Macaca mulatta: one gene and its partner. The protein of the gene in region 2 binds, or shares a complex with, the protein of the main gene of each other region. Links are inferred from orthologs where the notes say so. Each region holds a gene or a part of one and is shown on either strand. Other genes may lie near its edges.

Region 1 (6,298 bases), on a different chromosome or scaffold from region 2:
AGCCTGAGCTCCACCCTCCCCTCTTCTTGCGGCACCGCCCACCCACACCCCGTCTGCCCCTTGACCCCACACGCCGGGGCTGGCCCTGCCCTCCCCCATGGCCGTCCCTGACTTCCCAGCTGGCAGCGCCTCCCAGAGGCGTTCGGGCTCCCGCCGCCTCGGGCCGCCTCCTCCAGACTCGAGAGGGCTGAGCCCCTCCTCTCCTCGTCCGGCCTGCAGCCCAGAACGGGCCTTCCCGGACGCTGGCTCGGGACTGTCTTCAACCCCGCCCTGCACCTTGGGCACGGGAGAGCGCCACCCGCCCGCCCCCGCCCTCGCTCCGGGTGCGTGACCGGCCCGCCACCTTGTACAGGACCAGCACTCCCAGGGCCCGAGCGCGTGCCTTCCCCGTGCGGCCCGTGCGCAGCCGCGCTCTGCCCCTCAGTCCCCAGGGTGCAGGCGCACATCGCCCACCCCCCACCTCCCGGTGTATGCAGTGGTGATGCCTAAAGGAATGTCACGCAGTTTTCGGTCTGTGTCGCTTGTTGACCCCGGCAGAGAGTGTAAAGGGAGGGCAAAGGCATGGGGGAAGCTTCGAGCGCTCCAGGCTGCCGCGGTCGCTCAGGCTTGGGCGGCAGCGGAGGGGCTCCCCGGGTCCGCAGGCGAGGCAGAGCCGTGGGGGTCGGGATCAGGGTTCCGGTCCGGCGGTCTCGGCGGGCGGAGGGCGGCGGTGCGGCAGCGGCGGCGGCGGCGCGCACGGCAGGCGGTGAGCCCGGAGCCTAGCACCAGGCAGGCGGCCAGGCTGACGAGGAAGGAGGCCGGCCCGAGCGCGTAGACCACGGCCAGGTCCCGCAGGGCGAGCGGCTGCGCGCAATGGCTAAACGCGGCGTCGGAAAAGGCAGTCAGGGGGCTGAGCGTCAGGCGTCCCGGCCACACGCAGAGCAGCGTCTCGGCCTCTGTGGGACACAGACAAGGGCGTGGCATCAGGCGGCAGCGGCCGCACCGCCCTGCAGACCCCAACCCGCATCCCTAACAGCTCACCTGACGCGGGCAGTGGGTGCCTGCGCAGCCAGGCGCAGAGCGGGCGCAGCGCGCACCCGCAGCCCCAGGGGTTGCCGCGCAGGTGCAGCGCGTCTAGGGCGGGCAGGCGGCCCAGCAGCCCCGGCGCGAGTGCCGCCAGCTCGTTGTCCTGCAGGCTGAGCGAGCGCAGCAGCGGGAGCGCGCCTAGCGCCGCCGGCTCCAAGCTCGCCAGTCGGTTGCCGGCCAGTGAGAGGTTGCGCAGCGCGCGCAGCGGCGCGAAGGTCCCTGGTGCCAGCGCTTCCAGCTGGTTGGCGCTCAGGTCCAGCAGCTGCAGCGCGCCCAGGCCCCAGAAGGCTCGCCCGTGCACCGAGCGTAGCCCATTCTCGCGCAGGTCCAGGCGCTGTAGCCCGCCCGCTCCCGCGAAGGCACCGGGCGGCAGCGCGCGGACGCAGTTATGGTCCAGCAGCAGCGCGCGCAGGCGCAGGCTCAGGCCTGCGGGCACGGCGGGCAGCGAGAGTGCGGAGCAGCTGGCCAGGCCGCCCGGCACGCACGTGCACACCTCGGGGCACTCCGGGGCGCCCGGGGACCCCGAGGGCGAGGCTGTGGCCGACACCTGGGCCCAGACAGGCCAAGGCGACAGCAGCAGCAGCAGCAGCAGCAACGGCCGAGGCCGCGACCAAGAAGGGCTCCGCATGGGGGCAGCCCCGGCACCCGCGGTGAGAGGCCCGCTGCCTGCGTGTCCCCGGAGCGCGTCGTCCGCGGAGCCCGTTCCTGCGGCGCCTGAACAAATATTAACTCTGGCCCGAGCGCAGACAGTTCCTGTCCCACGGCTGGATCCACGCTTGGGGCGGAGGCAAGGCAAACAGCCAACGCCCGGCACCGCCAGCCACCTGTCCCGGAGCTCCAAACTACTCTTGGCTTAGCGCCGGCCACAGCGCTATCAAGACCACCTCGCCCCGCCTTGTCCACCACCGGGCGCCCGCCGAGCCCTGAGCAGCAGGACACCGCCCACCTGCACCCACCCAGCTCACGGCTGCGACAGGCTCCCGCACGCAATGCAACCCAGAGGTCCTACTCCTCACCCGTCTCGACCCCACCCAGGCTCAGCAAAGTGATGCCAACGTGCACACGCGGAGTGGCCCCCACGCAGGGATGGTCCCGTTCCCATGGTGGATGGGGCCTGGGTTGGAGACAGGCTTTGGGATGGAGGGAGACAGCACACCCCAGGCAGGAGAGGTGTGCCTGCCCCACCCCTCCCCCTAGGACTCTCCTGGACCGTCAGAAAAACAGACCAGTGCAGTGGGGCAGCGGTATCAGCCCAAGTCCTCCTGTTAAACCCAGCGCCCTTCGGAGTTGCCAGTTTCAGGTCCTGTTCTAGGGGCTTTCCAAAGCAGGGTGTAGGGAGGAGCCAGGCTGACCAGCTGTGGTAGAGAAGGTGGAAACATTATGGGTTTGGTTTCCTGCCCTGGGGCAGAGGAACAGGGGAACCTGGTGTGGGGCCTGGGTGCCCTGCTTTGATGAGACCCATATGCGTGTGCACCCCCCATGATGCAGCCTTGAGGGGTGTGAGAGCCTGCAGGGAGGACAGTACACAATCACTAAATACACTTTAATTCCCCTCCCCCAGCTGCCCTCAGCCCTACTCAGGTGGTAGGGGCGGGGGTGGCGGCGGCTCCTCTGGAGAAGCCTCCATGGGAATGGCCACAAGGCTCTGATCCTCTAGTGGCGGCATCATGGAGACCTCCAGGTCAGCGTCCATTAGCTGGGACTCCACATATACCGGGTGCAGGTCCATGCGATTTTCCTGGACCCCAAAATTCTCCATCAACCTGCATGACAGGGGCCGGGTCAGCACAAGCTGGTGGAGTCCTGATCCTCCAGGGCAGGCCAGTGTCTGGGACAGCGCAGTCCCACAAAGGGCCTCCCCTGGGACAGCACCCCTCCTCCTCCAGGGACTCCCTTGGGATAGCTTCCTGCGCCAAGGGCCTCCCCTAAGACAGCACACCCCACCCCAGGACCTCCCTTGAGACAGCGCACCCCCCTCGAGGGCCTCCCTGGTGCTCACCTGTTGTCCACTAGTCTCGGGCATGTTTCACTGAGGGGATGAAGACCGACATGAGTCCTGGAACAGTGCTGGGCCCCCGAACCTCCCCCAACACACGCCTAGGAAACACCATTCCTACCCCAGGTGACAGCCCACCCAGGGGTAAAGGCCCCTCTTGCAAGACCGAGGGCCCAGGGCAGGCAGCCTGGCCTCACTCCCATCCACTCCCGGCCCCGGGGTTCACGCACCCCTTGGCCCGCAAGACACCAACTGCCACGATGACAAGGGCACAGAAGCAGCTGGCACTGACGCCCGCCAGCACCACAAGGAGGGCGATGAGGGCTTCGCGGCTGAGGCCAAGGCTGCATTCACAGTAGGTTCCAGCTGCAGAGACAGGGCCACATAGCCATGGGGCCGGTCACCTGCCTGTGGAGGGCCTCCAGGTCTGCCCCTGCCCTGGTGGCCACCAGAAGGACACCAGAGCTCCCGCCTTGCCTGGGAAAGGGGAGCCCTGGCTGGGAGCAGGGTGAGGGGGCAGGAGGAGGCACCTGCAGCAGGGATGAGCAGAAGAGACAAACATGTGAGGCCCAAGGGGCCGCCACGCAGGCAGGACGCAGGCTGGGGACCAGGGGCCATGTCCAGCCCTGGCCCCACTGCACACCTCTGACGGAACTATTGGAAGGCGCTGACTTCACAGTGGGACTGTGAGGTGGGGGTGGGGGGCCTCACGGTGCCAGTGTGTCATTTGCCCTTGGGCACCGCGATTCAGGGAGCCACTGACAAAAGCAGCCCTGGGAATGGGACAGGTAGGGTGGACAGAGGCCTGAGAGAATGGCCAGCTCAGGCCAGTTCTGAGGCAGAGGCAGCAATGGGGCTGGCCTGGTCTTACGGGCAGTCCTTCACAGTGGTTTCACCGTGTTCGCCAGGATGGTCTCGATCTCCTGAACTCATGATCTGCCCGCCTTGGCCTCCCAAAGTGCTGGGATTATAGGTGTGAGCCACCACGCCCGGCCAAGTCCTTCACAGTGAAAGGGGGTGGGCGGCACTCCAGGCTCTGATGTGGGTGCAGTGGCCTGGCAACCTTGGGGGGTGGGCGGTAGGCAGCCTCGGCCTCAGCTCCCTCCCAGCATAAGGACTGCGGCAGCTCAGCGTGTGGGCTGAGCCCCAGCTGGCTGCAGGTCACCTTCCTCCAGGGCCGGGGCAGGAAGGAGCCAAGGAGGGCTAAGCAGGTGGGCTTGCACTCAGCCTCCCTCACCACTGCTTCTGGGAGGGTCTGGCTCATGCCCTGGCAAAGCTCAGGTCAGAAGGGCTGCTGGCACATAAGGGAATCCCCCATCAACCTGGAAAGGTCTGGGGTACACTGGCCACCCCATCTGAGCAGGACCCCAAGCCTTGCCTCCCGGACATCCGCCATCCAAGGCTCCAGACTAAAGGCGTCACTGAAGTTGGAGCCCCAGGGGCTGTTTCCTCTGCAGAAAAGGCAAGTGTTGCCCAAGGAAGTCGACCACAGGCCAGCATGGCCAGGGTTAATTCCAGCCTCCTTCCTGAACCTGCTGTTCCAGGCTGGGAGAGAGGCCCCTGCCCTCCCGGCTTCCCCTCCTCTGAACCTGCCAAGCAAACCGCCAGGCAGCAGAAGGAAACACCTGCCCCACAGCCAACCAAGGCCAGGCCTCCTGCCAGCTCAGGACCCATGGGGCGCAGAGGGGCGGGGTGGGCACAGCCTGGCCCCAATGGACCTGGTCACCAGGGACCCCCTTGCCTGTTGACAGACACCCTCCTGCTGAGGTCCTCGGACCTCTGACTTGCTGAGTGACACCGTGACCTGACATGCACCTTTTACCCTTGTCTTCAGGACACATCCAGGGATGGAATCCACAGACACAGAACAAAAGGTGTGCCAGAGCCAGGCTGGCAGTGACACCGGACAGGCCAGCCCAACAGGTTTGTATCCTGCTTAGGACAATGGCACACCCAGCCTGGGGCCAGGTGGTGGCCATGGTCAGCGGGATCCAGGCAAGGCCACCGCCTGAGGGGAAACAGTGGGCATCAGAGCAATCGGGACCCCCCACACCAGAATTCAGGAGAGGGGTCCCTCTGTGTGACAGCAGCACAGCCAGCCTTGGAGTGAAGTGGAGCAGGTGGCAGGGCCCAGGGCTGGAAGGGAGATATAACATGGGCGGAAGCAGCCCTCCTTGGCGGGGCAGAGGCCTGATGGCCAGAGGCTGTGCATCTGACACCTGCCTAATCCCAACCACTTCCTCCTTCAAGCCCCGAGGCAAACAGAGTTCTCCAGAGTCAGGAGGGTGCAGGCATGTCCACGGAGCAGGACGGCTCAAACAGGCCAGATCTGGAGAGGTGGGAGGGTGCTGGGCGGCGGCTGCAGGAGCCCAGGACAGTGGACATGTGGGAACCAGCAAAGGTATCTGGGGACAGCAGCGGGAGCACTGAAGCCAGGCGCAGCACACAGCCTGGGAAGGTGCTGCAGCAGGAGCGGGACTCGAGGCGCCGGTTCAAAGGGCCTTTGTCCCCCGGGAGGACGGCACCATCGGGGTGGAACATGTCTGGCCTGGAAATGGCACCTCTGGGAGAGAGGCCCAGATTTTAGCAGCAGAAGAGCCCAGAGCTGGACCCTAGGGCCCTTGTTCAGCTTTGTGGCGTCTCCCTCTCCCAGTGCCAGCCTCTGGGACAGGCCTTGGGCAGCCTGCACACGCATGACCACACATGTGGGGGACATGGGGGCGACCTGCCTTTCCGAGGCACACCTGTGAGGCCAAGCTCTGCGGCCACCCTGCCCAAGTGTGGAGCAGGGGACAAGTGCCCAGTCCCTCTGGCCACCAGGGCATAGCTTTGAGCAGAGCTTTGCTGCCGGAGATGAGGTGTGTTGGCCAAGACATCATTCGCCAGTCTAAGCAATTCCAACTGAACCCATGCAACGTCCCAGCCTCGCCGGAGACCTCCTGGCCCGGCACATGGGGTGGGCACAGGCTGAGCAGAGGGTGACCCCAGGGCTCCTTCCAAAGGCCAGAGGCACAGGGATGGAGCTGGAGGTCTGGCAGGTAGCATCAAGCCCTAGGACGTGGCTGCCTGAGCCGTGGCCCAGGTGTGATGTGGGGTTTCACGCGCGGCTTCCTGAGCACCCAGGCGGGGGCGGCCCGGGAAGCTCTCAGGAGGCTGATTCCCAGTGCAGATGTGTAGGCCTGGGTGGCCCCTCGCCTACTGCTGAGGAGCAGGCCCTGCCAGGCTGAGAGGCCCAGG
Region 2 (7,277 bases):
AAGAACTACCGCACTGCCTAAAGCATGATTTGCATGCGCAAAGCATCTGACAACTATATGTTGAAAAAAGGGTATTTTTCTACCTCTCTTCCCATGCTTACTAAGTGTTAAAAAAGAAAGAACAAAAACAAAAGAAAAAATAACTATACCAAAACGTGTTTGGCTCACTGTTGCACTCTTCTCATCCCACGTCTCATAATGACAAGGAGCAGCTCTCTATTGTCGTCATTACCCTGCCTAAATTGGCTACATTAACTAAAGTGATGATGAGGAATTCTTTCCCACCAGCTTCCTTCATTGGGACAGCCAGCACCGTGCAGCTGCACCAACAGTTGAAGGTGGTGGCTGTCTTTTGTCTTTGTTGAGTCAACTGTGGCTGATCCTCCTACATTCTAATTTATTTAGCATGTCAGCTCCTAGAAAAACATGATCTGCAGCTGGGTTTGTCTTCCTCTCACTCTGCCCCAGCCCTTCCTCCTACCTGGCATTGGGGCCCTAACTAATCAAACAAAGGGGAGTAAAAGGATCCCCTGAGGATACATGGAAAAATACTTGCTCTTTCCTGAGCATTATTTATTCTGTACATAAGGTAAGTAATTCACCTTTTAAAAGATGTGAAAGTCCCAGGAAGGCAGTTTTTAATGACTTACATCTGATATTTATGATACATATGGCTTTTCATCCCAAATGTCAAAAGTGAAAGAAAAAAACTAGCTATTCATATGGCAACATAAGGAGACAGAATAACAATTTAATATGCAATCAAACCTCTTTTCACTTAAACTAAATGACTAGAATTTGATACATCCATGATTGGAATACTATTCTTTCCTCCACATTAAGGTGAGAAATGTTCATAAGAACTCCCAGAGGGAACTGGCTCTGGGACAAAAGGCGTTGGTGAGTAACTAAAAAAAATCTCTGATGTTCTCTTGCAACAAGCAAGTCCTTCAAAATCATCTACACAAATTGTGAAAGCTTTTCAAAGGCTTCGCAATACTTCGGCCCAGAGACTGGAAACAATCGATATGTTTTCATTGCTGTCTGGTTGCTTGTTTCAAATAAACATGTACTAACTTATTGTGTGTATAAAAAAAGAAAGAAAGGAAAACAACAACAACAACAACAAAATCAAAACCCAAAGCACCCTGATAATCCTGATAAATCAGAATCAGCTTTTCTTTTACATTAAATAAACTTGCTCTGCCTAACTGACATTGATCACAAGGGCTCCCTTCTAATCTGTGAACTCGTTCCTGCAGTGAGCTATTTATGTCTGGAGCATGCCTTTGGGTTATTTTTCCCCTAGAATCATAAATAACTTTTGGTCCGTCTGCTTATTTGCTGTTGTGCTCAAGGGTTTTATGGTGGTGAAATAAAAATGACAACCACATGCACACTATCATACATATGCAAATATGTGTAAAAAAAAGAGGGGGGGACTACAGGGGAAAACAGGGAAAGTTACTTTGTTGGAAACACCAACTGGGGAAATGAGTGGCAGATACAGTTTCACACAGTGGCGGTGGATACACATATCAAAGCCGCTCTTCCTGCACGTACTTCTGTTTGTCCCGGGACTCCCTGGACTTGGGCCGGTTCTGTCGGTTTGCCGTGGATGGGATGGAGTGAACAGAGGAGCTCTTCTTGCTGGAGGACTGCGACGAGTGGGAGGAATGGGACAGGCTGGCCCGGGACTGGCCGGCGTTGTGGTCAAACTGCATTAAGCAGAAGATCAGGTCCGTCGGCACGAGCTCAAACTCGTAGGGGGGGTTGGTGATGACATACCTGGACAGGAAAAGCAGAGATGTCACCGCCCGAGAATAACTGAGTAGAGAATTCAACCCTCCCTGAACCAAAAGCAATGGCCTGGTTACTCAGGACTTTCAGAGGATCTGGAAGATGCACTTCTAGCTGGTCCGAGGCCTTAAACATTCTTTTCCTTGTTAAATGGAAACTTCCTCTGTTTAACTCAACAAAGGAGGCCAGCCAGGAGCCCAGGCAGAGATGTGGAATTAGGGCCAGTAATGGAAGGACCAAACTTTGCTTCTCGTGGTCTACAGGTACCTTTCTATACAAGGTCAAAGTCACTTCCAAGTAGCCCAGCCGCAGGAGGTTTCATGAAGTGTGATGCAACTTTCATTCCAGAATTTTTGGACAATCCCAGATATACATCACAAGATCTTTGCTTACTATTACAGAGTGTCTCCTTAGACTATATTCTCGCTCTTTACCTTTTAAAATCTGTTTTGGTGGGAGAATTTGGAATTTGGAATTCACCACGTGGAAGAATCTAAGAACCCTGCCTACTTATCAGCACTACTTTGTTGTTCTTCACAATGAGTTGGAGCTTTCTTTGGTCAACAGCAGATGTGACTAAGATGATCACCCTGTTTCACTTAGAGCAGTGGATCACAAAGTGTGGTCCTCAGGCCACACAGCTCGGCATCACCTGCGAACTAGGAAATACAAGTTCTTAAGCAACCCCACCCAGACCTACTGAATTGGAAGTGCTGAGGATAGGTTCTGTGGTTGAACAAGCTCTGCAGGTGAGTCTCATCATGCTGGCTAAATTTTGAGAACCCACTGGTCTATAGCAATTGTTCTCAATTCTGGCTATACACAATAATCCCTGGGTATTATATATAAAATTGTTATATATTTTAAAATATATATATGATTTTTTCTTCCTTCCAGACAAGTTAAATTAGAGTAATCAGAATATTTTTTAAAAGCTCCCCAGGTGATTCTACTATGCAAGCAGGGATGAGAAACGCCTGTCTCTGCAGCACTATTGCCTAGGGTATATTATGCAAACTCACTGATCTTGGTAATTCTAGGATGTACTTTTAATTTTTGCCTGCTATGAATTTATTTTAATGCATATGAGAAAAATATAATTAGCACATCTAAACTGTTATTTTTTCTGCTTAAGGTGATAATATACAATTGTCTCAAAAATAAATATATAAAAGTTAAAAAGTGAATCAATTTAAAATATATGAAGTAAAAATACAGGATTCTAAGATATGGCAGAAGAACCACTTGTCTTAGGGCCGGGTGTGGTGACTCACACCTGTAAGCCCAGCACTTTGGGAGGCCGAGGTGGGTGGATCACTTGAGGTGAGGAGTTCGAGACCAGCCTGGCCAACGTGGTGAAGCCTTGTCTCTACTAAAAACACAAAAATTAGCTGGGTGTGGTGGTGTGTGCCTGTAATCCCAGCTACTCAGGAGGCTAAGGCAGGAGAATCGTTTGAACCCAGGAGGCAGAGGTTGCAGTGAGCCAAGATTGCGCCACTGCACTCCAGCCTGGGCAACAGAGCAAGACTCCATCTCAAAAAACAAAAAAATTATCATAAACACTAGCAATGTGAAATGATATATCTCTATATTAGATACCAACAGATGTTATCCTAGTAGCTGGAGTTTGGGAGAGATGTTTGTATTCAGACTTTTGTAATTGGGTGATGGAATTATTCTATTAATACAAAACTTGAATTCTTACCAAAATGTCTTTACATCCACTATTAGTAATTATAGAAAAATGCTTCCCATCACCTCCAAACTCAGTGCCGGATTTAATATGGGCAGGGTAATTTGCATGTTGGGGAGATGTATACAGACCTTTGCCTTTACAGTAGGGGATTATTGTTTCTGTGATTAGGTGGGAGGGCAGAGTTGAAACCAATACTCACCTCTTTGTGCACTGACTGGGGGTGCTGAGGTGGGCATCTCTCAACCGGTAAATTCCAAAACAAAGCATATTATATGTTTTCAGAGCTTTGCAGAACAGATCACCATAACAACCACCATCCTGGGAGACAGCAACAGAACAGAGAGAAACATCCTTTTTATTTGCCTGAAAATCAAGGGCCAGGAGGGAAAAGGGTCTTTTCATCAAAGCTTGTTTTGGTGTCTCCCAAGTTGGAGGGTCCATGTGCCAAGGGACGGCAGTGGAAGAAGTCCACATGGTTAACAGACTACAGACAATATGTGTGATTTTTAGGGATCAGGTAACAATGGGGCTTTCCTCTGGTGTCTCTCCAGTTTTCCACCTGTAGCAATGGGGTTTGAAAGCTCTAAGGAGATTATGCTTCTCCCTCACTTTAAGTGAAAGTGTAAAGCCTGACGGTCTCAGATGCATGCTCAGCTGAGGAGATGAACCCTTCTCTGCAAAATGGTGATGATGTTCAGCCCCAGCTCAGCTGTAACCACTGTGATAGGATCGTGTTGTCAAAACCGCCTGAGTGATAATGAAAACCACAGCGAGGAGGAGGACCCCACCAGGTCCTATGGTGACAGACTCTTTCAGGTAAGGACCCTGTGAAAAGCACAATTTACAGACCTCAGAGATGGCAAGGGTGGAAGAGAATGTGTTTCCCCAGGAGCCAGGGGCCTGCAGGCTGAATAACTGGGATTCGCAGTTCTGATCAATTCACAGCCACCTTCCCAGGGTCTGGGGCCTGATGCAGAAAGTGAAAGCAAATGCATCCACTTGGAAATGCTGGCTTCAGCAGCCAGGTGGCTTCAGGTAGATGTTAACAGTATTACATGAAGGGCACTGGGCACTGCGGGATGGCTTCACTGGGAATAAAATGACTGTCTTCGTCCTTCCAATCACTGGAATTCTCATATTGGTCTCATACTAAAGAACACAGATGGGACCAAAGCTTACCATTATCTAAAGTCTTCATCCTAATCAAGTGCATCAGTAAGTAAATGATACGTATAAAGAGCCACTAGCTATGAAACTTCCCTTTCAAAAAAAGCCTAGTCTCACATAAGTCCCAGCCCATGATCAAACTAAAATATGGGGCAAGTATGCAGAATTGTTTCAGAAAAAACAGAGACAGACCCTTTCCTTGGCTCCTTTTCCACTATTTAGTCTTTCTGGGCAACACTATTGTTTGCGTAACAGGTTTATCAGTTTCTATCAATATGGCTGCATCTCTTAAATGCATCTGTGGGGTTGAGCTGGGAATAAGGGCAAAGACACTACACTTCTGTCACAGTGCCTACGCTAGGCAGGCGCATGGAATCAGAAGGGAGATGCTGGCCACTTCTGTCACAGGGAGGACCCGAGGGAACGTGACTGGGTCCAGTCTCAGAAATTACAAGGTCTAGGTTTTGAATTACAGGCATTAAAGGATCCACATGAGATTCTGTTTGTTTGGCTGGTGGTTCTGGATACATCTGACTACTGACTACCCTGGTGCTTTGAAAACCACCAGTGCCTGGGTCATACTCACATATAAAATCTAAGAAACCTGAAGGATGAGGCTGGCCACCTCCATGTGCTACTAATGTATAGTTGGGTTGAGTATCCCTAAGCTATGCTAAGAGCCTGTGGAAATATTTCCCAACCTTGGCTGCATGCTGGAATCACCTGCTGCCTTCCACCTCGTGCAGAGGATACGTGAAGAGAACACCAAGGAGTGAGAAAGCCCACAGGCTCTGAAGCCAGGATGCCTTGGTGCAAATTCCCAATAGGTCCAGTGCTCATTCTCTCTGAGCCTCAGTTGACTTAGAAGGTGTGATACTAGAACTTACATCAAAGGGTTGCTATGAAGATTAAAATGAATGACTTATGCATAGAACGAAGTGCCTGATACAGAGTAAACCATAAATATCACCTCTTACAATTATCTACAATAGGAAGGAGAAAAGACAGATGCCTTGCTTGTCACATCTGACACCACGTTCTTCAGGATCAAGCTTTTCCCAAACAGCAAGCTCAGGTGACCATGGTGCTGCGGACTCACCCCTAAGTCTGCAAATGGCCCATCGAGCAGAGCTAACTGGGCCACGCGGCAGCGGTCCCTATTGGCCAGTGTCTGCGGGGTGCTGTAGCCACCTCTAAGGGCGTTCTCCTCAGCAATCAGAGCTTCCAGCTCCGGTGTGGCTCCTCCGGTCACCAGGGTCCGTATCAGGGTGAGGATATTGTCATTGAAGTATGTCTGGGGAAGAAGAGAAAGTGGGGGGAAAGTCCTTTAAGCAAACACCCTAAAGTCATGACAGCCGACATCCAAATTACAACTTTTCTTGGTATCTCCTGTTTAAAGTTCTGGCCTGTCTCTTCAAATAATTTTATGTGGGAAGTGAAAAGACAGCAGCCTCCAATTATTCCATTATTTTCTCTCCTGCTTGGCTCTGCCATGACAGCCTGACTTAAAAAACCCAGTTCAGGGGATTTTTAGTAAAGAGCTCAAATCTGAATAATTAGTGTTTACCATAATTGGTTTTAGTAGGGATACAAATATTGCCTCCCCCTCCTCAAGTCTACATGTCTACTATGAGACTCTGGACACATGTAATAAAATGCAGCCTGCCCCAGCTGCTAACCCAAGCGGCATTGTCTCTGAGGTCCTGTCACCCATGTGCCAGGAAGCTTCCTCCCCATGACAATGGCAAAACCTTTCATTAATGCCGCATGCTCAACAATTTATCACATGCGTTGATAACTGTCTAACCCAGAAATCTCGATCAATTAAATATGCCAGATAAATTTATGACAAGGTGAATGTCCTGGTAAGTGTACTTTGGCTTTTGTTTTCTAAAATAACCTCAGTAGTCTGAGGCAAATATCACTTATTAAAGAAGTTTCCCCCTAAGTGTACATTTGTGTCACATCTGAAACATAACAGATCTGTCAGGAACAAAACAATGGGAGTTTAAAAAAAATTAATAGGATGTCAAGTAAAGGAGCTTTAAAAGGTATTTGTCACCAGCCTAATTTGAGAAATTCTCAGGTAAGGGTGTGCATTCCATTTTCCTATGTAAGTAGAAATCAAGCAGCCTAAAAACTCAAATCAAAGTTTGCCTGTGGCTTTTGAGGATGTACTTTGGAAAGAGGTAAGGAAAGATGCAATTGTACCTCAGCAACTTATTAGAGAGTTTACCTGGCAAGGCATAGCAGGGAACAAACCAAGTAAGGGTGAGCTCAAGTTCCCATCCCAGGTTTGCTAACTAGTTCTATGTCTTAGAGGTTGCCTAGTCATTCTGGGCTCTGATTTTTCTCATCTGTAAAATAAGTGCAGTCACTAAAACCAAATTTATATTCACAGAATTCCATGAGGACTTCTGAATTAAGATGATAGTTGCTAGTGGGGCTGGATTCACATTCCTTACTGAAATACTTACAAAAACACCCCAATGTGATACAAAATTCCAACTGCAAAAGAAACTAGGAATGTTACTCATAGCCTGCCAGACCCTAAAGGAAATTTATGCTCAGGGTTAAGAGATGCCCATAGGCACAGATGCAGGAAAAGGATACT

Evidence for each region.
Region 1: the proteins of KCNMA1 (region 2) and LRRC26 are in contact, whole or in part, in a cryo-EM structure (PDB 7YNZ), measured with the Homo sapiens proteins. The link is inferred for Macaca mulatta from reciprocal best matches to the Homo sapiens genes KCNMA1 and LRRC26. Residues at the interface, in NP_001154824.1 of Homo sapiens: Pro78, Cys79, Asp80, Ser81, Arg82, Gln84, Trp88, Ala92, Ser93, Val96, Thr97, Glu155, Trp158, Met159, Ser161, Val162, Trp165, Cys206, Leu226, Leu227, Phe229, Gly230, Leu231, Phe233, Ile234, Asp251, Phe252, Pro256, Phe259, Val260; in NP_001013675.1 of Homo sapiens: Gly204, Cys205, Gly206, Cys207, Ala208, Arg236, Leu237, Ala249, Phe250, His252, Cys253, Ala254, Gln255, Leu257, Arg260, Asp261, Leu262, Val264, Val265, Tyr266, Leu268, Gly269, Pro270, Ser272, Phe273, Ser276, Leu277, Cys280, Leu281, Leu283.

What each region holds. Positions count from the first base shown.
Region 1 is NC_133420.1:5,281,115-5,287,412, reverse strand, and holds LRRC26 (leucine-rich repeat-containing protein 26), read right to left. Parts: upstream 2,639-6,298; 5' UTR 1,694-2,638; coding exon 1,021-1,693; intron 936-1,020; coding exon 601-935; 3' UTR 505-600; downstream 1-504. Other genes in the region: TMEM210 (transmembrane protein 210), read right to left, coding at 2,639-2,828, 3,065-3,094, 3,292-3,427, 3,592-3,679. UniProt on the Homo sapiens protein: Auxiliary protein of the large-conductance, voltage and calcium-activated potassium channel (BK alpha). Required for the conversion of BK alpha channels from a high-voltage to a low-voltage activated channel type in non-excitable cells.
Region 2 is NC_133414.1:72,747,326-72,754,602, reverse strand, and holds the end of KCNMA1 (calcium-activated potassium channel subunit alpha-1), read right to left. Parts: intron 5,958-7,277; coding exon 5,763-5,957; intron 3,815-5,762; coding exon 3,696-3,814; intron 1,789-3,695; coding exon 1,539-1,788; downstream 1-1,538. UniProt on the Homo sapiens protein: Potassium channel activated by both membrane depolarization or increase in cytosolic Ca(2+) that mediates export of K(+). It is also activated by the concentration of cytosolic Mg(2+).